Linked DNA regions of Coturnix japonica. The protein of the gene in region 1 binds, or shares a complex with, the protein of each later gene. Links are inferred from orthologs where the notes say so. Each region holds a gene or a part of one and is shown on either strand. Other genes may lie near its edges. The genes, in order: FLCN and LAMTOR2.

Region 1 (4,366 bases):
GCAGTAGCTGAGCTTTTTGTATTGCTGGTTCCTATTAGTAAGCACGAACGTTCTGCTGAGGGCTGAATGCCCTTATGTCTGTGGAATTACAAGCAAATTAATAGACGTACCTGGCAAATAGAAGCTGTGTTTGCTTTGTTTCTTTTCCTGACATAGATAAAATAAACCTATACTGCACATCAGGAGGGCTGGCAGACAGATCTGTGTAGTATTTTCAAACAATATATCGCACTATTGTTCTTGATCTGCTTTTTAAGGAGGCACTTTGTTACTTGCTGGTGGAAAATCTGAAGTCAGGTCCCAAAGTCTGAAGTATTCACCAAAAGTGCTTTGGGAAAAGGCTTTTGAGCAATGGTTTGACTAAATGCTTCAGGTCTGGCATCTGCATGTCCTGAGATACTGATGAAACCAAGTCAGAGCTTTTAAATGAAGAAGCTCCTTCAAGTCTTGGAACTAACTGCATGGGGCTGCGGTGAGCTGAGACGCATTGAGAACACTTGAGCTTTCTGCTTTTAATTTGTATTTATTGCAAGGAAGGACTGTAGATCCAAACGTAACAACACTGTGTGCTCTGCTGCTCTGAGCATGCTTTGATATCTGCTATCATGCTTTGATATCTGCTATCATGCTTTGATATCTGCTATCATGCTTTGATATCATAGTTCAATGCGCCATCATTTGCAAAGAGAAAGTGCAGCTCTGGAGGGAGCCCTTGTCTTGCAACTACAGCTCTTAGCCACAGGAGGGGTCTCTACTTCACTCTTAGCTGGTAATATAACGATGCAGAGGTTTTTTTGGTTGTTTTTAAAGAAAAAAAGGCTGGAATCCGTGTAGCAGCCCCCCTTGTATGTCTGTGCCACATGGGAGCCGTGCGTACTGCCCCTTGTGAACATCCATAGTGCTGCCATCGCACCAAGTGCTTCTGCATAACCCAGGTTGCCTTGTAGGCAACACTTGTACTTGGAGGCACTTCTGGGCAGTACAACTGCGCCCCACCGTGTGTGTTGTGTTGTGTAACGTAGGAGATGTTTCTGCATGGCCACAGCAGCCGACGAGGTTCGTCCTGAGCAGTTGTTTCAATGTACTATTGGAAAATAAAGGTCACAAACCAGCCCGCTCTTAGTTTGTCTTTAAATGCTTGGCCTGAAGGAACGAGATGGTAGAGCTTTGGTGTTTGCCTTCATCTCTAGGTGTTGTTCTTTATTGGGGGGTGCTTTTGTTCTTATTGTGCTGCTGTCCTTGCCCAGCACTGGCTCTGAGGTTACATGGAAATTGAATCAGGCCTTTGCTGCAAGTGGTGGTGCTGTATTAATTAGCGGTGCTGTATTAATTAGCAGCGCTGCTGGCTGCCTTTAATCGCCCCGTCTCGTCTCACCCCCCCGCGCTCCCAGCAGTGGTTGCTCCCAGTCCCGTGACTGGGCGGCTGCGGGTCGCGGTCATTGCCGCTGCCGCGGGGGGGGAGGAGTGCGCCGGGAGCTGTGTGTGGAGGCGGGCAGCCCCCTGCTGTCCGGCCACCAGCTGCATCCCCGTCCCGATCCCTCTGCAGCCTCATCCCGCTCCTCGCCGCTCCTTGGGCGGCTGATCAGCGGGGAGCTGCCTGCCCGCATCCCCAGCACCCCCCCCCCGCGGCCCGGTAGGATGGTACGGCCCGGCGGTCAGCGTGTGTCAGCTGCCCGCAGCCACGGGACGGGCCGGGGCGGGAGCCCGGAGCGGTGAGAGGACGGGAACGGGGCTGGGGGAGCGGGGGGTGGGCCGGGCAGTGGGGGAGCGGGCACTGAGCGGGACCGGGACCGGGACCGACCGTGTGGCTGCGTGGGGACCGGGGGTGGACACACAGCGCCGGGCCGGGCCTGTAGGATGCAGCGTTAGAACGGGGGGAAACGGCTTCGGGCTGAAAGGGGACGGTTAGATTAGATACGAGGGGAAATGCTTCGTACTGAGGGCGGTGAGGAGCCGCCGTGTGCCCGCCATGGAGCTGTCCCAGGCCGTAGTTGGGCCCTGGGCAGGCAGCACACGGCACGGGTGGGGCTGGTGGCCTCTGAGGGCCCTTCTCTGTGCTGTGCCATCGGTTTGGCTGAGAAACGCTTGCATGGAGATCCTTAAGGATGGCTGACACAGCACTGGGCCGGCACAGCCCCATCCTGACACGGTCTGAGGTGCCCAGGTGCTGAGTGATTGTGCTGCTCTGGGCCTGTCCTGTGAAGGTATGAGCACAGCCCAGGGTGGAACTGTGCTGGACACCCCAACTGAGCAGCTCTTGGAAAGACACAGATCAGCATTCACACCTGACAGGCCCATGGGGTGTTGTAACAGCAATTCTAACAGCAGTTCTTGTGCCAGTTTGTATATTGATGCTATGTGTTTTTTCACTCACCTGCAGGAGACCCTGACGGATGTGCTGAGCTCTCGCTATGAATGCTATTGTTGCTCTCTGCCATTTTTGTGAGCTCCACGGTCCCCGCACCCTCTTTTGCACTGAGGTTCTACATTCACCGCTTCCTCAAGGTGCCAGCAGCGGGGATATCACTGGGCAGAATGAGCAGGCGGAAGAGGAGGAAGGCGGCATCCAGATGAGCAGCAGGATCCGCTCGCACAGCCCAGCTGAAGGTGCCAGCGCTGATTCCAGCAGCCCAGGGCCAAAGAAGTCAGACATGTGTGAGGTAAGTGTGAATAGCTGTACACAGAACATCAGTGTTTCTTTGCTTGACTAAAGGGCTCTTGGGTTATCTGATGAACACATGAACTACCCCTGTGCTTTCATATAACTGACAGTACTAAAAAAGTCCTTATAAACTGCAGTGACCCACAACAGAAGTTGAAGGAAATGTTATTAAGCAAACTGACAAAGCAAGTTTCTCTGTTAAGGTCTTTTTAAGCCCTGCGTGTGATTTTCATGTGTCTGAGAGACGCTTCCCTTGGCCTCCAAAGGTTTCTGCTTCATTAGACCAGGTTCTACCATTGATTAATAGCAATATTTAGCAGCAACATCAAATAGGGAACAGGAAAAAAAAAACCAAAACCAACCTTAAAGCTCCTAAAACTAGAGAAAAAACTGTGTTTTTAGTTTTTCCTTTGTGTGGCTACTATTAGCACTTGATCTGAGCTACTTGTTATTTACTTGCCTTTAGGTTATGGCCAGTGCTTTTGTTGGCCAGTTGCTTTCACAGGTGCTATGAACTGACTTGTACTGCTTGCAGAGCCATCACCATCAAATGCACAATCAAATTCAGCAGTGGAAAACTGGCATAGAAAGGATCTGAGTTTAAGTGCTCACCCTGACTCAAACTGCTTGCATTCTGAATACTTGAGTTTATATGTGTAAATAATGCTACCCTACGTTTAGAAGGGAAAACGCAAAGGCAGCTGGAAACCTTTGAAATCTGCATGTTCGTTTATGCTTGGATTTGCTTTTCTGTCTTCAGGGTTGCCGCTCTCTTGCAGGAGGACATCCTGGGTTTGTCAGCCACGACAAGGAGACTTCGATCAAGTATGTCAGTCACCAGCACCCAAACCACCCCCAGCTGTTCAGCATTGTGCGCCAGGCCTGCGTTCGCAGTCTGAGTTGTGAGGTAACTCTTTAGGAGTACAGGAAGAAATCCTGCTTAGGGCCTTACCTTGGGGATGCTTTTCCTCTTGACTTCTGAGATGTGAAAGTTCTCTTATTTTCACTCCTGTGCATTTATTGTTTGTGTTTTTAATATAAACTGATAAATTATTTGTGTAAAAATGTTGGCATCTATTGCTTTGTATTGAGAAATAATTGGTCTTTATAAACTGCTGACGTTCAGTGTCTCATATAAATGGAGAGCTTTACAGACTAGTGTTTGTGTGCCAGCATCAGGAATTCCTTGTGATTTCTCCACAGTGTTGTAGCTGAACTGAGCAAAATCTGTAAAATAAAGATAAATTGAAGGCTTTATTATGTTTGTTTGACCACAGGTTTTAGATAGCAGCCTTAAAAAAAATTGTTTTATTCATCAGATGTCTGTTAAATAGCAGCAAGCTTTTGTTATACAGTTCATTGCTCTTCCAGCTGAGCTTCTTTGGTCTGTATGTCCCCCCCATTCAGGTCTGCCCAGGACGTGAAGGGCCTATATTTTTTGGAGATGAACAGCATGGTTTTGTGTTCAGCCACACCTTCTTTATCAAAGACAGCCTGGCCCGAGGCTTCCAGCGCTGGTACAGCATCATCACTATCATGATGGACCGGATTTACCTCATCAACTCATGGCCTTTCTTGCTGGGAAAAATCAGAGGCATCATCGATGAACTTCAGGGCAAAGCACTTAAGGTGGGTCAGTGAGTGAGTCCTTTTGGCTCAGCATTATAGAATCATAGAATCACCAAGGTTGGAAAAGACCTAAAA
Region 2 (3,576 bases), on another chromosome or scaffold:
AGTGCTGCTCATATCTCCCGGCTGCCGCCCGGTTTCCTCCTTCCCTCCGCAGAGCTCAGAGCGGGGCGGGCTGCAGGGGGTGGTGAGGGGGGCAAAGTCTCCTCTGTGTCGGGGTGTGAGGGGGGTCCCAGCAGTGAGGGGGGTCCCAGGAGGGAGCGCGGTCGGGGAGTGAAGGCGACGCGGGCGGCGCAGGGAGGCCCAGGGCGGCTGAGTGCAGGCTGGGAGCGGCAGCGCAGGTTGGGCAGGTAATGTCACCCCTGGAACCGTCACGGGGCACCTGGAGGAGGAGCCGGGCCCGGTCCTGGCTGCCAAGGCCACGCGGCGCGGGGCAGCCTGGGGCACTGGGGCCCTGGGCTCAGCATGGAGCTGGCCGGGCACCAACGGCCGCCTGCACCTCTGCTGCCAGCACAGAGAGATGGGAACGTGGGGGAAGCAGCCCCAGCAGGGACAGCACAACGCTCCCAGCTGCACCACAGACCCCTGGCTGGGTGCACGGCTGACCCCGTCCCACCCTTCCACCCTGCACTGATCTGACAGACACTCAGGACACGAGCACCACACGTGGCTTTATTTCCCCTCCCCTGCTGCCCAGCAGCACAGCCGGGCTCACAACACGGTTCCCCCCGTGCAGGCGCTGCTCTCAGCCGTGGCAGCGCGGTTCCATGCTCAGGATGCAGCTCAGATGCAGCTCAGGATGCGGCCACCTGCGTCAGCGGCTCCTCCAGGTATTGCACCAGCGCCTGTGCCTGGGGCAGGGATGGTGGTGAGGGGTGCAGCCCCCAGCGCCCACATTCTGTGGGCAAACCCCCGTCCCACCCCAGCACCAATCTGGGACCCACGCAGACAGTTCCCATTTTGATTGCAATTCCTCCCCCATCTCTCCCATCCTCTTCCTCCCGGCTTTAACCCCGTGGCTCTTTCACACCTCACCGTAATGCAGCCCCCCACCCCCTCACCCCCATCCCCTCACCCCCATCCCCTCACCTTGGCTTTCAGCATCCCAAATCCCACCGTCTCCTTGGCGTACATGCACAGCAGGAGGTTCGCCACGCGGGTGATGGCCACGCGCCCCTCCTGCCGGAGAGAACCGGGGTCACACGGAGATTCAGGGGGTCACAGCGGGATTTATGGGGTCACAGTGGGATTTATGGGGTCACAGTGGGATTTATGGGGTCACATTGAGATTTATGGGGTCACATTGGGATTTATGGGGTCACACTGAGATTTATGGGGTCACACTGAGATTTATGGGGTCACACTGAGATTTATGGGGTCACATTGGGATTTATGGGGTCACACTGAGATTTATGGGGTCACATTGAGATTTATGGGGTTCACACGGACCCCTTGGGCTCCCACACAGAAGCTGCTGCTGAACACCTCGGATCCCACTGTGGGTGCTGCTGTGGGTCCCGCACACCGGGGGTCCCGCATGGATCCCGTGGGGTCCCGCAGCCGTTCCGTACCATGCAGTCCATGAGGATGAAGCGCAGGTTGTCCTCGTTGAACGCGTGGTGCCCGTTCTTGTCGTAGGCCACCCAGATGTTGCTGGCGATGGCCGCGGTCACGCGGGCGTCCGTGTCTCCGTATCCCGAGTAGGCCAAGAGCGAGCCCTCATTGTTCAGCAGCCTGCAACGGAGCGGGGAACGGTCAGCTCCGGGCCGAGCCCCGCCGTGACGGTACGGTCACATCACACCGCAATGACCGTACGGTCGCACCGCCCCCGGCCCCGTCCCCGCTCACAACGTGCTCTGGACGCCGCCGGTGTTGGCCTGGCTCAGCACCTGCGTCAGCGCTTTGGGCCGCAGCATGGCAGGCAGCGCGGGGCGCGGGGCCCGTTCCCGGTGTAGGCCGCCCCCGTTCGGTGTTTGCTGCCGTTCGGTTCCGTTCGGGGCGGTTCCGCGCTCCGTTCCGGTTCCGGTTCCGTCGCCTCTCGATCCTCCCCGCCGCCAGGGGGCGCTGTGCTGCGGCGCGGGCCGTGGCGGCGCTCTGTCCCGGCCTTTCTCTGTCGGCCAGGGCTGGCGGGGCGGGCGGCGAAGATGGCGGAGCCGAGTGGCGGCGGCGGGCCGGGCCCCGGCGGGTCGGAGCTGGGAGGTCCCGGCGGGGCGCTCATCCGCGTCACGGTGAAGACCCCCAAGGACAAGGAGGAGATCGTCATCGCCGACGGCGCCTCCGTGCGCGAGGTGGGGACGGGACGGAGGACGGGGCCTAGGCCTGAGCGCTGCGAGGGGCCGCGGGAGACACGGGCCGCGAGACCGAGGAGGGTGCGGAGCGGGAAGGTGGCGGGAGGGGTTGGGCGAGAATTGGAGGGAGGAACCTCGGGGGTGTGAGGAGCCGGGGGGGGGAAGGTTGTGAGGGGCGGGAGCGGAGCTGGGCTGAGCGGAGCTGGGGCCTCCCCGGCCATGGGGGGCGTGGGGCCGGGGTTGGGCTGCAGCGGAGTGACGGCGTGTGTTGTGCGGGAGCCGAGGGGCTGGAACCCGCCGGGGGGCGAGAACGGGGCGTTGTCGGGGCGGTGCGGGAGGGGGGGGCGGGATGTGCCGGTGGGAACGGGAAGGGGGGGCCGGGAGGGGTCTGCGGGCTGGGGGGGGTGTGAGGGGCACGGCCCGGGGGTTGTGCTGCTGGTAGTGGGGGTGTTGTGGGACAGCGGGGAGGCGCTGCGTGGGGCGGCTGGGCCTGGAGGGATCAGGGATCTTCTCCCTTAGGGCCCGGAGATGCCTCAGGTCAGGGCACATGGGGGCGCGGCTCCGGGGCTGGCAGGAGCTGCTGGAAGAGCAGCGGGAGCTGCAGCTTGGGGAGCTGAGAGGCAGCGGGTGGGTGCTGTGATGGGACGCGGCCCTGGGGCTGGGCTGCGGGGAGCTGTGGGGCAGTGGATGTGTGCGGTGGGGCTGAGGCCAGAGGCTGCTCTGTCCGTCCTTCTCAGACCTTTCATTTCTGCCTTTGGGGCAGAGGGAGAGTGAAGCAGAGGGAAGGGGACGTCAGACATGTGGGTTTGCTGTGAGCAGGGAGCTCCACAGGGGCACTGTGTGTTTGCAGGGCAGCAGAGGGTTCACAAGAAGCGTTGTGCAGGTGGCAGTGCCCGCCGGGGCAGAGTGGTGTCAGTGCTGTGGATCTTGGCTGTGTGTGTGTTTTGCTGTGTACTTTGATGTGGGCTTCAGGGCACGAGGTTGCAGCGTGTGCTGGGAGCTGGGCAGGAGCTGTGTGCTGTGCGTGGCCCTGCTGCTTCCCAGCCCTGTGCTGTCAGCGTGCAGAGCAGCGGGTGAAGCTTCACGCCCTGGGTCACTTCAGTGCCAGGGGTCCGTCCTCCCAGGCCCAGTTTTTCGGGAGTTCTGGACCATGGCAGCGAGCTGCCCCAGGAAAGCTGTGATCTTCTGCTCCCAGCCTTTCCATGTGGATTTCCTGAACTCTGTGGCTTCCAAATGCAAAGGTTTCTATTCTCACCTATTGACTCGGGGACGCCCCAGCTGAGCTGGCGGTGACAATCTTATTGGCAGGTGCTGGTCCCTCCCCATCACACAGCAGAGATGTTGGCAGTGGGTGCTGTGGATAGTCACAGGAATAGAAGACCTAGTTTACATC

The links.
Region 2: FLCN (region 1) and LAMTOR2 share a complex: the UniProt entries of both Homo sapiens proteins name them as parts of the lysosomal folliculin complex. The link is inferred for Coturnix japonica from reciprocal best matches to the Homo sapiens genes FLCN and LAMTOR2.

Annotation. Positions count from the first base shown.
Region 1 is NC_029529.1:4,765,522-4,769,887, reverse strand, and holds the start of FLCN (folliculin), read left to right. Parts: upstream 1-1,446; 5' UTR 1,447-1,712; intron 1,713-2,380; 5' UTR 2,381-2,411; coding exon 2,412-2,660; intron 2,661-3,422; coding exon 3,423-3,569; intron 3,570-4,069; coding exon 4,070-4,291; intron 4,292-4,366. UniProt on the Homo sapiens protein: Multi-functional protein, involved in both the cellular response to amino acid availability and in the regulation of glycolysis.
Region 2 is NC_029540.1:79,200-82,775, reverse strand, and holds LAMTOR2 (ragulator complex protein LAMTOR2), read right to left. Parts: upstream 1,936-3,576; 5' UTR 1,812-1,935; coding exon 1,744-1,811; intron 1,630-1,743; coding exon 1,467-1,629; intron 1,075-1,466; coding exon 985-1,074; intron 747-984; coding exon 690-746; 3' UTR 548-689; downstream 1-547. Other genes in the region: RAB25 (ras-related protein Rab-25), read right to left, coding at 1-12; UBQLN4 (ubiquilin-4), read left to right, coding at 2,040-2,183. UniProt on the Homo sapiens protein: As part of the Ragulator complex it is involved in amino acid sensing and activation of mTORC1, a signaling complex promoting cell growth in response to growth factors, energy levels, and amino acids.